Elephas maximus indicus: one gene and its partners. The protein of the gene in region 1 interacts with the protein of each later gene in a biochemical or structural test. Links are inferred from orthologs where the notes say so. Each region holds a gene or a part of one and is shown on either strand. Other genes may lie near its edges.

Region 1 (3,750 bases):
TTTCTGATAAGGATGCACTGGGGTCAGACAGCTCTGCCCCACATAAAACATGTGGCCTAGGCCAATTTTACCATCTAAATCCAAGTTTTCCCTTCTGTATAATATGGGGTGGAAACACTGGTGGCACAGTGGTTAAGAGCTATGGCTGCTAACCACAAGGTCAGCAGTTCAAATCCACCAGGTGCTCCTCGGAAGCTCTATGGGGCACTTCTACTCTGTCCTATAGGGTCATTATGAGTCGGAATGGACTTGAGCGCAACAGCTTTGGTATAATAGGGGGTATTCCTAACAGTAGCTACTCCATGAGGCTACTGTAAAGATAACACATGAAAAATTCTCAGTGCTAGGCCTGGCCAATAGACAGCATTCGATAAACGAAAGTGGTTATATTGATAGCACAGTAATTCACAGCCCACAATGTGTTTTCACATCAATTTGATCCTTACACAAGGCTTGAGTCTGGCCATTTCACAGATGAGGAAACTAAGGTTCAGAGAAGTGAAGTGACTCGACTAAGGTTGACATGGAGCCAACAGAGTATCTGAGCTGGAACAGAAAACCAAGAGCCCACACCCATAGTCCAGCCAAAAGTCCTGGGTTCTCCTCCCGCCAGACTTCAAAGTGCAAGACTTCAGGCTTCACTGGGGCTCGACGTACTCAGTCAAGAGGGTTAACCTCTGAAACTCGCCTCCAGTTTCAAAGCGTGAAGCGTGTTCACCCTCTCGCCAAGCCCTAAATACGGCTGTTTCGCGCTTATCCCATGGGCGGGGCTCTAGAAGTCACACGCCACACTAAGCCACGCCCACATACAACTCCCACCCACCCCCAACCCAAACGGGAAACCAGCCCTGTCCAAGCTACCCCAGCAGCAGCCCCAACTGCAAAGACCCTCTTGGATCGGCGTTCACCTCTTAAAATCAAGCCCTGAACTGGAGTCCGGCGCTCCGCCCTACGCAGCCCTGCCCCGACGCCCACAGCCTCGCCCGAGGACCCGTGCTGTTGCCCGCGTTCTTGTGCGCCCACCTTTGTGAGCGACGATCCGGGCCTTCGACGGCCTTGAGCAGCGCGGAGTCTCCTCCACTGGAACCAAGGGCCCCGTCCCCGCCATGAACCCCGCCCCCTGCATGGCCCGCCGGGACACCCGCACCTCGCCGGCTCCTCGCCTCCCTCGCGGGCCGGCTGCCCAGTGGGTCCCACACTGCTTCGCCCCGCCCCGGCCTCCCGCGGGCCGCATGGGGCCCCGCCCCTAGCCGCAGGCCCCGCCCACAGACCTCCCCGCCCCAACTTCGAGTCACGCCCACAGACCACCCCCCCAGCTGCGGGCCACGCCCCACAGGTCGCCCCGCCCCAGCTGCGGCCACGCCCGCAGATCGCCCCGCCCCTGAGGCGCTACCCGCGGCGGCCGGGCTAGCGTGGCGGCTGGCCCAGCCGGGCCCCGCTGCCCTGTGCCCTGGGCGCTCGGTCGGAGCGGGCCGGCACGGCGGGGCCGGGCGAGCGCGGCGGCCGGGGGCCCCGGAGGCGAAAATGGCGGCAGGCAGGCGCGCGCCGCGCACCGGGCTGCTGGAGCTGCGCGCCGGGGCAGGCTCGGGGGCCGGCGGCGAGCGGTGGCAGCCGGTGCTGCTCAGCCTGGCGGAGGACGCTCTGACCGTGAGCCCCGCCGACGGCGAGCCCGGCCCCGATCCCGGCGCCCCGCGGGAGCCGGAGCCCGCGCAGCTCAACGGCGCCGCTGAGCCGGGCGCGGCGCCCCCGCAACTGCCCGAGGGGCTCCTGCTCCAGCGGCGCCGCGTGACAGTGCGCAAGGCCGACGCCGGTGGGCTGGGTATCAGCATCAAAGGTGGGCGCGGTGGCACAGAGGGCACAGGGTCGTGGTGTCTGTGGGGCCGCCGGAGGCGCAGGGGTCGTGGAAGCTGGCGGCTCACTGAGGACATGGATTTGGAGGCCTTCAGTCTGAGGGAATGGGGAATCTGAGGGAGCTGAGGGAACCCGGGGCATGCGGAGCACCAAGGTCGGACACTTAGAGCCCCTGACAATGCAGGGGAGCCCCTGACAGTGCAGGGGGGGTCGTCAAGGACCGGAGGTCTCAGGTGTCAGAGAGGGCTAGGAGCGCACCAAGGACATGTGGGTGGGGAGTTCTGTGTGGAGACATAGGGACCTGAGGAGGGCAACTAGCATGGGCACCAAGGACAAGAGGGGCAGCTGGAGAGCAGAGGGTGGAGAAAGGCGAGGCCTCGGACACTACTGGGGTGGTGAGGGGGAGTCCCTGAGACATCACCAAGTGGGGGCAGGGCATGGGGTCTGGGAAGGACGGGGGCAGAGAGCAGACGGTGGAAACACAGGCTTCAGTCACAAACAGGGCACCACAATGGACCTAGAAATCTGAGGAAGGCTGTGCACCTAGCCAGGGGGCCCTGACCTCTGGGCTTGAATCCTGATCCGACCCTCCCCACCTTGCACAGGATTGACAGGGGCAGACCCAGAGTTGCTGCTCCTCTGTGAGCTCCCAGCCCCCAATACTGACAGCCTTCTTTGGGGCTCAACCAGATTCCATTTGAGTCCAGGATCTGCTGTGTGAACTTAGACAAGTCACTTCCCATCTCTGGACCTCAGTTTTCTCAACTGTATAATGAGGATAATGATAGGGTTGTGATGTTTCTTTGACACCAGATGTCTAAAGTGTTCACCATGGCAGCACATAGTAGGTGCTTGGTTAGTTACTGCTGTTAGATGAGAGGAAAAATGGAGGCCAGAAGAGACTCCAGAAACAACTAACCATACTGCTTAAAATAATCCCTGCATACCTTCAGCTGCTGTGCTCACCATTCCTGCCTGTCTGTTTCTTAGGGTTCCAGCCCCCGTATCACCTGAATGTGTACTGTCCTCTCTGTTCATTGGTGCCTTCAGACCCTTTGGCCTGGGTGTGGGTATGAGGATGGAGGTGAATGCCACCATTGAGTGCCAGGTACTGTAGGCTCAGGATCTACTACATCCTGACAACAGTGATGAAGGGAAGGGAGTATAACCCCCATTTTGCAGGTGAGGAAACTGAGACTCAGAAGGTGAAGCGATTTTCCCAGGGTCACACAGTGAATAGCTGAGATTTAAACCTCAGTTATGAGGCTACCATCCCCCTGCCTCCTGCTCCACGTAGGGAGTGCCCATTAGCATTGTTTCTTTCCTGTGGAAGGGTAAGTCCCCAGGCACCCAACAGTGGGTGTCTAAAAGAAGGGAGTGGGGAAGCCAGGGAGCAGGCACTAGCTTTGCCCCCAAATCCCAGCATGGCATAGGGCAAGTGGGCCAATCCAAAAATTGTACACTCAGTGTGTCAGAGAAGGAAGGAACTTAGAGTTTATATAGAGTTCCATTTCTCAGATGGACAAACCAAGACCCAGAGAAGAACAGAGGCTTTCTAAGGTCACATACAGTTACTCCCTAGTTCCATGCTTCCGGGTGGGTAGGAGGGTACTTTTAGGAGGCTCAGGGTAAGTACTAGTTCCATCTAATTCCTGTGGTTGCCATGGTGACTGCCCTTCTAGGGTCCAGTGCAGCTGCAGGCAGCCAGGAATGATCATGGCTTCAAACTGGATTAAAATCCCTAGTTTCAGGTCAGAGAGGCGCCCCCCGCCAAAAAAAAAAAAAACACCAGTTTTGTTCAAGTCCAACTCACAGTGACCCTATAGGACAGGGTAGAACCACCCAATAGAGTTTCCAAGAAACACCTAGTAGATTTGAACTACCAACCTTTTAGTTAGC
Region 2 (3,750 bases), on another chromosome or scaffold:
AATTTCAGCTAGCAGATGTTTGTCAGTATATAATGTATCTTTCTATGCATAAAAAACATTAAAGAAATACTTCCAGATACACTAAAATATCTTTAACGTAATAATATAGTAATAATAATGTTTTGATGTGTGTCACAAAGTAGTACCATTTGTTATTATAAAGCATTGTAGGTACATCATAGGCTTTACAGGGCTTGGTTTGTAACTACATGTTGTACGTAAGTCAGATGTTCGTAATCCAGGGACAACCTATATAAAAGTTTTGTTGGGGAAAATGGAAATATTATTATGATGATATTCTTATCATCATAATAATATTTGATATTATTTGGTAAATATTTGATAATATTTATAATATTTGGTAAATATCTTAATATATCAATTTTTTCTATAATTTATTTCTGTGCCAAGCAATTGAATGTTTGTCATAGAAAAATGAGTGCATCGCTTTAATAATGGTACTAGAGAAACACCGGATCAACGGCAGCTAACAATAACAACAACAACAAAAAACAACACTCAAATAATTTTGGCAGGGATTAGTATAATCAAAAATAATATCTTTCAAAAAAAGTCACTAATGTTTTCTATAAATATTGCATGTACCTGTCTCATTAAACAATAATAATAAAGAAAAAGAAGCAGCTTTGTATTGGCAACGAACGATTTACAAGCATCCTGAATGACAGGTTAAAACTGTGCTCGTTTAACACAAAAGGAAACCTCTGTTGTGAGCCACTAAATAATTGATCTTTAACTTAATGTCTAAGAGAATGGTGTTTTAATAATTGTCACCAAAGAAACTGAAGAAAGAGTAATTTGTTTGTAAAGAAGTTGTATCATAACCTGCAACTGGGATTTCTTCGTTCCATTGTAAGAGTGCTCTTTATTTTAGCAGAAAACTAGTCCTGGGAGACCTACATACATTCTGCGTTCAGAGATCAGCTGCCACATTCGTCTGTTGCTTTTCTTATTCAGATTGTTGGGATCATCAATACATGGCTTTTGATTAGTTCCCAACGGTAGAAATTACCTTTTGTAGACACTGGATGTATAACAAATGCATAGATTATTCCAGGCATTTCTTTTTGTGTCAGTAGAGTGAAATTTTTAGTGTTGTTCAGAAATGGGGGCGGGAGGGGGGGGGAGACATTAAAAATCAGTTCTAGATCAGGCTATTCTGCTCTGTTATTTTATAAAACTGCATAAAAAAAAGTCACAGAAAATACTGTTACATTTTTGTAATGTGCAGTTTTTGTGTTGAGAAGTCTTGGAGAACAAGTTCTCTGTCCACTATGCTGTTCTGGTTTGGATATTAACCAGAATACAGTTGAACGTTATTTGAATTCACAGGACTTGCCATGCTGGAAGAACAACCTTATATGTAGTGTCCATGGGCAGTCCTATTATGGGAAACCAACTTGAGGGAAAGGCGGGTCACTTGCTTCTGCGCAGGTCCTGGAATTTGAAGTATCCAGAGGCCTCTACAGAATTCTGGCACCAGTCACTATGTTGACTCACTCAGTGTTGGGATCACTCACTTTTCCCCTACAGGGCTCAGATCTTGGAGGCAATTACCTTCAGAGAGAAACGGATAGGAAAACTGAAGTATTTTTTTAAGGCTCCAGAAGTTTATTGGTTTCTCATCATTCCTAAGCCTACTCGAGCAATAAAGTTGGAAGAAATTTTTACCAAGATATTTATCGCTGCCCTGATATATACTTATTTTCCAAATGCTTTGGTGGGAAGAAGTAGAGGACTGTTGTAAGTACAAAGTAACTAAAAATATCTTTTGCCATGGCTTAACATTTAGTTTGTGACAAGCTCACTGATGAGGCAAATTGATTTTAAATTAGTATAGTAGTCTGTGAATAAGCATAAATGTTGTCTTATATATACTGTACATAGCCATATATGTGAAGGTGTACATACCTCTCATTGAGAAAACTTTTCAACAGAAAGGAGGTAGAATTCAAAATGTTTTCTTTGCAAATTGCACCTAACACATCTTTCTTATTTTAAGAAGCTCCTAAAATAATAGAATAAGCATCACTGCTTTGAGTGCTTGTAACAGACCGCTTTGATTGCTGTGAAATAGTTTGTGTCTCTGAGTTATTATCCTGATGATTTTGATACTTCTGTATTTAGTAATGCTTACATGTAATATTATATATTACATGTTGGGTAGTGACCTGACATATCTTCTTCATGAACTAATTGTTGTATGGGAATGAGGTGGGGACCTCGAGGTTAGAAAATTGTATCTGGCAGATCAGAGGAGAAAAAAAATAAAGAATACAATGAATTGTAATAGAGAAATGGAGGTTGGGAAAAGTATTGATAAAGATTTAAATAGAAGCTCCCTTCTCATATTACATTTAGTATTATGAACGTTCTTTTCTGTAGCATTTCATGAGAATTCTTTCAAATGCTGATATGATCTGTATTGCCAAATGACCATGTACTCTGTTTCTTGGGAAAACAACATAAAGGTGAAGGACTTCCAATCATATTTTGCAGTAAAGTTACCAAAGTCAGTTCATTGTTTCATGTTTATGACGGCCTAGCTCTATAGTCAGGCTTTTATTTAAAATACAACATTTATGTTTATTTTTAAGGAAGTCACGATGACTTCTGCCAAATTTAGAAATTAACTACGGTGAAAATAGGATATAAAAATAATATATGGTGAGAACAGTGTGTCCCAAAGAGGTGGATGAAGGACACATCTTTTTTTTTTTCTTTTTTTCTATCTCTGACTTGTGGATTCCAGTCACTCTAAAATAGGTACAAGAGCAACACCCATAATTAAGAATGAAAAAGTAAATCTCTCTAAGTAAGTAACTCTTCACAGCTTCTGGTGAAATAGAACAGAAGTTTTACCCTTGGGAAAGATTTCTAGGAATAAATTACTATTGTTTACTGGTTTGTATTAGCTGCTCCCAGGTCTCGTAGTGGAGCATTTACTGATATTTTTACCTTATTTTAGAAATTAATTTGATGAGCATCAGTGTTGCTTTCTGACTGAAAATCATTCACTTACTACAATGACAAAAACATATAACATATATTCGTTCTTTGTGTGTGCTTTTTGTGTCTATATATGTAGCCATGCATACACATACTTTCATATACCTGTGTGTAAGCCAATTCTAAAAGAAAAGCAAAGAGACAATTCTGGAATGAAGCAAGGCCAACCTACTCTCTGTTTTGTCATAGATATTTAAATATCTTTTTAATGTCTTAATTCGAATTTAAGAAAGCTAACCTTTTGGGAACATACCCTGTACGACTTTATTATAGTGAATTTTAAAATCAGCAGGTAATGCTTATGCTACATGATAGTGGGTTTGTTAAGAGAAAATGGACACATTCACAGGGCTATATTTCACATTAAATTTTACCAGTTGACAACATACTACTATTTTGATGTATTTGCATGTGAGTCCAGTTTGAACAACAACAACAAAAAAAATGCCTTGGTTTGAAAATTCAGAAGGATACAATTACATTTCATTTGGTTATTTTTAAACCAAAATAGTTACACTTTAACAGAGGAGATCACTATATTAACAGAAATACTGTTTACTTTTGAGGATTGCTCAATAATTCATTGACAAGGATTATATGTGTAATTCTTTGCATGTGTACATTTCATTCATTTTTTTAAAATGCTGTAAATTATCTTAGAACCAGAGCCCATTGCCATGGAGTCGATTCCGACTCACAGAGACACTATAGGACAGAGTA
Region 3 (3,750 bases), on another chromosome or scaffold:
GTGAATTTCCAGACAGCAGAATTCCAACCTTATTCTTTTTAAAACCTCAGTGCAGTGTCTGGAATGATTTCAAGAGCTCAGAGATAGCTAGTCTGTACTCCAGGTGTTTTCCACACACATTATTTTATCCCTCACAGTACCACTTCAGGGTAAGTACCATCAATCCCATTTATGAATATGAAAACTGAAGCTGACATTGTGAGAATTACTCAATCATACAAATGTGCAGAACCAAGTCTGAAGTCTAGATCTGACAACTCTAAAGGTAATCATCTTTTTCCACTCCTCAAAAAATGTTTGGTGTATGAATGCAGAATTAAAAGCAAATTTAGGAGACTTCTTCCCCTTTCAGATCCTTGATCCAGGAATATATTCTGGACACAGGACATTTCCTTAGATCACTATACCCTCCTTCCCTTCAGGAGAGCTGGAGGCCAAAAATATAAGGCAGATATTATTTTTTTAAAAAAAGGAAGTAAATGCATGTCTAGAAATAAACTGAGCATTTACAGAGAGATGCACCAATTTCAACACAGAAAAGGGTGTTAAAATTTCAGATCACTTCAATTTCCTCTTGTGGAAAAAAAACAGTACAGAACTGCAAACTCTGGCTGTGAATATTTGCAAAGAAATGTTTCCAACTTGATGAGTTGTTACACAATACACTGAGTTGCTTAAGGTAAAAAATATCTTCCCTTTCACTGACATTACTCAGATGCCCCCTCACTTAGATTGGTTTTAATGTAATGTGCTCACAAGCAGAAAGCTGAGCTAGGATTATTTCAGCAAGGGTCACCTTGTTCAACCCTCATCTGCCCTCTGGAACTGCCACCCAGTTCTGATTTCTCAGCCACACTTCCCAAATGCACACTTAGTACTTGTGGTTTCAATGACACAGCACATTGAATCTAACGCAGCAGCTAAGTTTGCGACCTTCTGAGCTCACTTTGGGATTAACCATAAAGCGTCGAGTGCCAGGAAAGGGGAACTAATGCTCACGATTTTCTCCGGCTCAATCTTTTTCTCATTGCCTCATCATTTACCCGCTGAGTCTCCTACGGGGCCCAGGAAGGGGAAAAAAAAAAAAAAAAATACGGGGCCCAGGAAGGGGAGATGACTTGAAATATTAGTTTTCCCAGTGCCACCAACGCGCCCTCAAGTAACAAGCCCAGTTCTACTTCTCCAGGAAGGGTAGTCAATAAAACACTTGCAGAGAAACCGCTCCTCGTTCCCTCTCCTGTGCTGGGTGTGTGTATGTTTACTGTTAATTTCCCTGGAGTAGAACTACAAAATTTCCTTCCCAGCCCTACCAGGAAAGTGGCCTTGGCTTCCACCGCCCTTGCCAAGGCAGTCCGCAATCCTTTTCGCGGAAATAGCAAAGAGAAGGAATCGGAGCGCGCAGTTACGCCGCAGCATCTGCTGAGAGGCAGTTCACACGTGAGCGCCCTCGCCAGCCTATCGCGCCACCTGGCCGGGCCTGATGCCCCCTGCGCTGCGCTGCGCTGCGCCGGGGAAGACCGGCACGGGCCCTGCAGACGTAGGCCCTCTTTAGCTGCTTCTATGGCAGCGTGCCCCGTCTGTCCCGGCGCCCTCCTGGCCCCCACACACCTTTCCATCCGCCTCCGCCTCCGCCCCCTCCTTGCCTTCCGGGATCCGAAAAGGAAGAAAGATGCCTCCCTGATAGCTTCTCTCCTCCCAGCCTATCCGAGCCGCCCCAACAGCTGAGGTCAGCTGAAGAGAAGACAACCCTTACACCTCTAACCACCCACGTCCCAAGCTTCTGCTGCCAGGACGCTATCCCGGGTTGCACGTGGGCCGGGGCGGGATGCTGGTGAAGCGCGCGCTGGGGGCACGCAGAACGGGAAACAGCCTCCAGTCTCACGGGCCAAGGATGGGGGGGCGCACCGCGCCGGCAGTCTCCGGCCACGCACAGAGAGGGGGACATCTCCTGGTCAGAAACACGCAGGCGCGCGGGACTCCTCTCCGCCCGGGACCCCCCAAGGGCACACCGCCGAGACCAGGGAGCGCCCGCGCCCGGCTACGCCCCCGCAGCTCCCACGTCGCTGTCGGCGCTGCTGTCGCTAGCTCTCCTCCGGCGGCAGCTTCGGGCTTTTTGTCTATATAAGGGCTCGCTGGCAAACTTGGCGTTGGCGCGTTTGTCGCAGGCTGGCCATTATTTTTACACACGCGCGAGGCTTCCCGGGCGGCTCCGGTCGCAGTCCCACGCTCGCCTTCCTCTGCGCGGGCGCCTCCTGCCTCCTCCTCCCTTCCTTCCCGGTGTACTTACTTTACTCGGTCTCTGGCATAGGATGGGCGCTGCAGCTCTCGGGTCCCCCAGCCCAGCCGCAGCCGGTTCGCCTCGCTGTCACCGGGTGAATGGAATTATTTATTTATTTATGTCCCTTGACGTCTCCTCGCCGGCCGTAGCTGGAGGAGGAGGAGGAGGAAGAGGAGGGGGCGGGGAGGGGAGGCGCGGCTGACGAACGCCCTTGTGGGTGCCGTGGAGCGCGCGCCAGGGGGAATGGATGGGGGTTGGGGGAGAACGCTACTGGCTTTGCAGGAGCCCCACCAACCGTCGGGGGAGGAAGCCGCCCCTCAGTGACTCAGGGTGGACTGAGCATGCTCCAAGTGGCTGTCACCGCTACAGACACTTTATGGCTCGGGGCGCTCCACTTCGGATTTTAGTTGTGACCAAGAGAGAAAGCCAGAGACAGGTAGAGAGATCTCCTGTTCCTCATAGCTCGTGACACGCTTTATCTCGAGCCTAACGTCGGAGCCAGCGGTGAGGTAGCTCCGTTTTAGATACCCTAGGGAGACGTGCCACCTGTAGGAGACGAAAGCTTGCAATTGCAGAAAAGCCTGGAAGTGTGTTTGGCGGCGAAAAGATCCTCATTGTGAGCTTGGAGGGAAAGTGTTGGGACGTATTTTAATTGAGGGTTTTTGTTTTGTTTTTTAAGTAAGGAGAAGTAGGGGATTAGGCTCACCAACCAATTCATTCAAGAGAAAAAGAAAATGTACCGCAAGATCAGAAGAGTATAGGAAACCATAAAAGCTTAAAAATAGCAAAGAAGTGGAGGGAGGCCATTTGTAAATAATTAATTTTTAGGATCCCAAATATTTAATTCCTCAAAATAGAGCTAGCTATTTGACAATCAATAGTGCTAGGGATAATAGTAATTCCGCAGTCATTGGTTTGGTTTCTTTCCCCTTTATACATATATGTGTGTGTGTGTATGTGTGTGTATATATATAAATTTTTTTTTCTCCCGTGCCTGTATGTTTCCTGGGGAAGTTGGAAAAGAGGAAGGGCTGGAAACGAACATTTGGGTAACTCTAAAAGGTTGGACCCTTATGACTGTTTTTAAGGCTGAATTGTTATTTGTAGAAAAAGGAACTCTTCTTAAGAATAAATGTGGGCTTGGATTCCAGAACTATTGCAGTTTTTCTGCCAATTTTCCTTCCCCCACCCATTCATCCTCCTAAAAAATGAAAAAGGTAAAATGGTATGTTAATCCTAGATACTAATATAACTCACTCGAAGTTTGTAGGGTTTTTTCTAAAACTTAAATCTTTTATGTGAAGCCAAGGCAATTGAGCGAAAATAACCTGAACTTTGAAACCTAAGGGACTCAGAATCAAAATGGTAGCAATAATTATTACACTGATTTATTAAGTGCTTATCATTATCAGGGCTCCTGAGTGGAGGAAATGGTTAAGCACTTGGCAGTTTGAGTCCACCCAGAGATGCCT

What was found.
Region 2: the proteins of SNTA1 (region 1) and DMD form a complex in vitro, tested with the Homo sapiens proteins (2 studies listed by BioGRID, with this or other methods). The link is inferred for Elephas maximus indicus from reciprocal best matches to the Homo sapiens genes SNTA1 and DMD.
Region 3: the proteins of SNTA1 (region 1) and SLC16A7 interact in a test that uses a peptide from one of them, tested with the Homo sapiens proteins (3 studies listed by BioGRID and IntAct, with this or other methods). The link is inferred for Elephas maximus indicus from reciprocal best matches to the Homo sapiens genes SNTA1 and SLC16A7.

Annotation. Positions count from the first base shown.
Region 1 is NC_064843.1:36,116,563-36,120,312, forward strand, and holds the start of SNTA1 (alpha-1-syntrophin), read left to right. Parts: upstream 1-1,412; 5' UTR 1,413-1,524; coding exon 1,525-1,834; intron 1,835-3,750. UniProt on the Homo sapiens protein: Adapter protein that binds to and probably organizes the subcellular localization of a variety of membrane proteins. May link various receptors to the actin cytoskeleton and the extracellular matrix via the dystrophin glycoprotein complex.
Region 2 is NC_064846.1:143,369,726-143,373,475, forward strand, and holds the start of DMD (dystrophin), read left to right. Parts: upstream 1-1,507; 5' UTR 1,508-1,733; coding exon of another isoform or gene 1,734-1,764; intron 1,765-3,750. UniProt on the Homo sapiens protein: Anchors the extracellular matrix to the cytoskeleton via F-actin. Ligand for dystroglycan.
Region 3 is NC_064822.1:119,688,562-119,692,311, reverse strand, and holds the start of SLC16A7 (monocarboxylate transporter 2), read right to left. Parts: upstream 2,431-3,750; 5' UTR 2,288-2,430; intron 1-2,287. UniProt on the Homo sapiens protein: Proton-coupled monocarboxylate symporter. Catalyzes the rapid transport across the plasma membrane of monocarboxylates such as L-lactate, pyruvate and ketone bodies, acetoacetate, beta-hydroxybutyrate and acetate.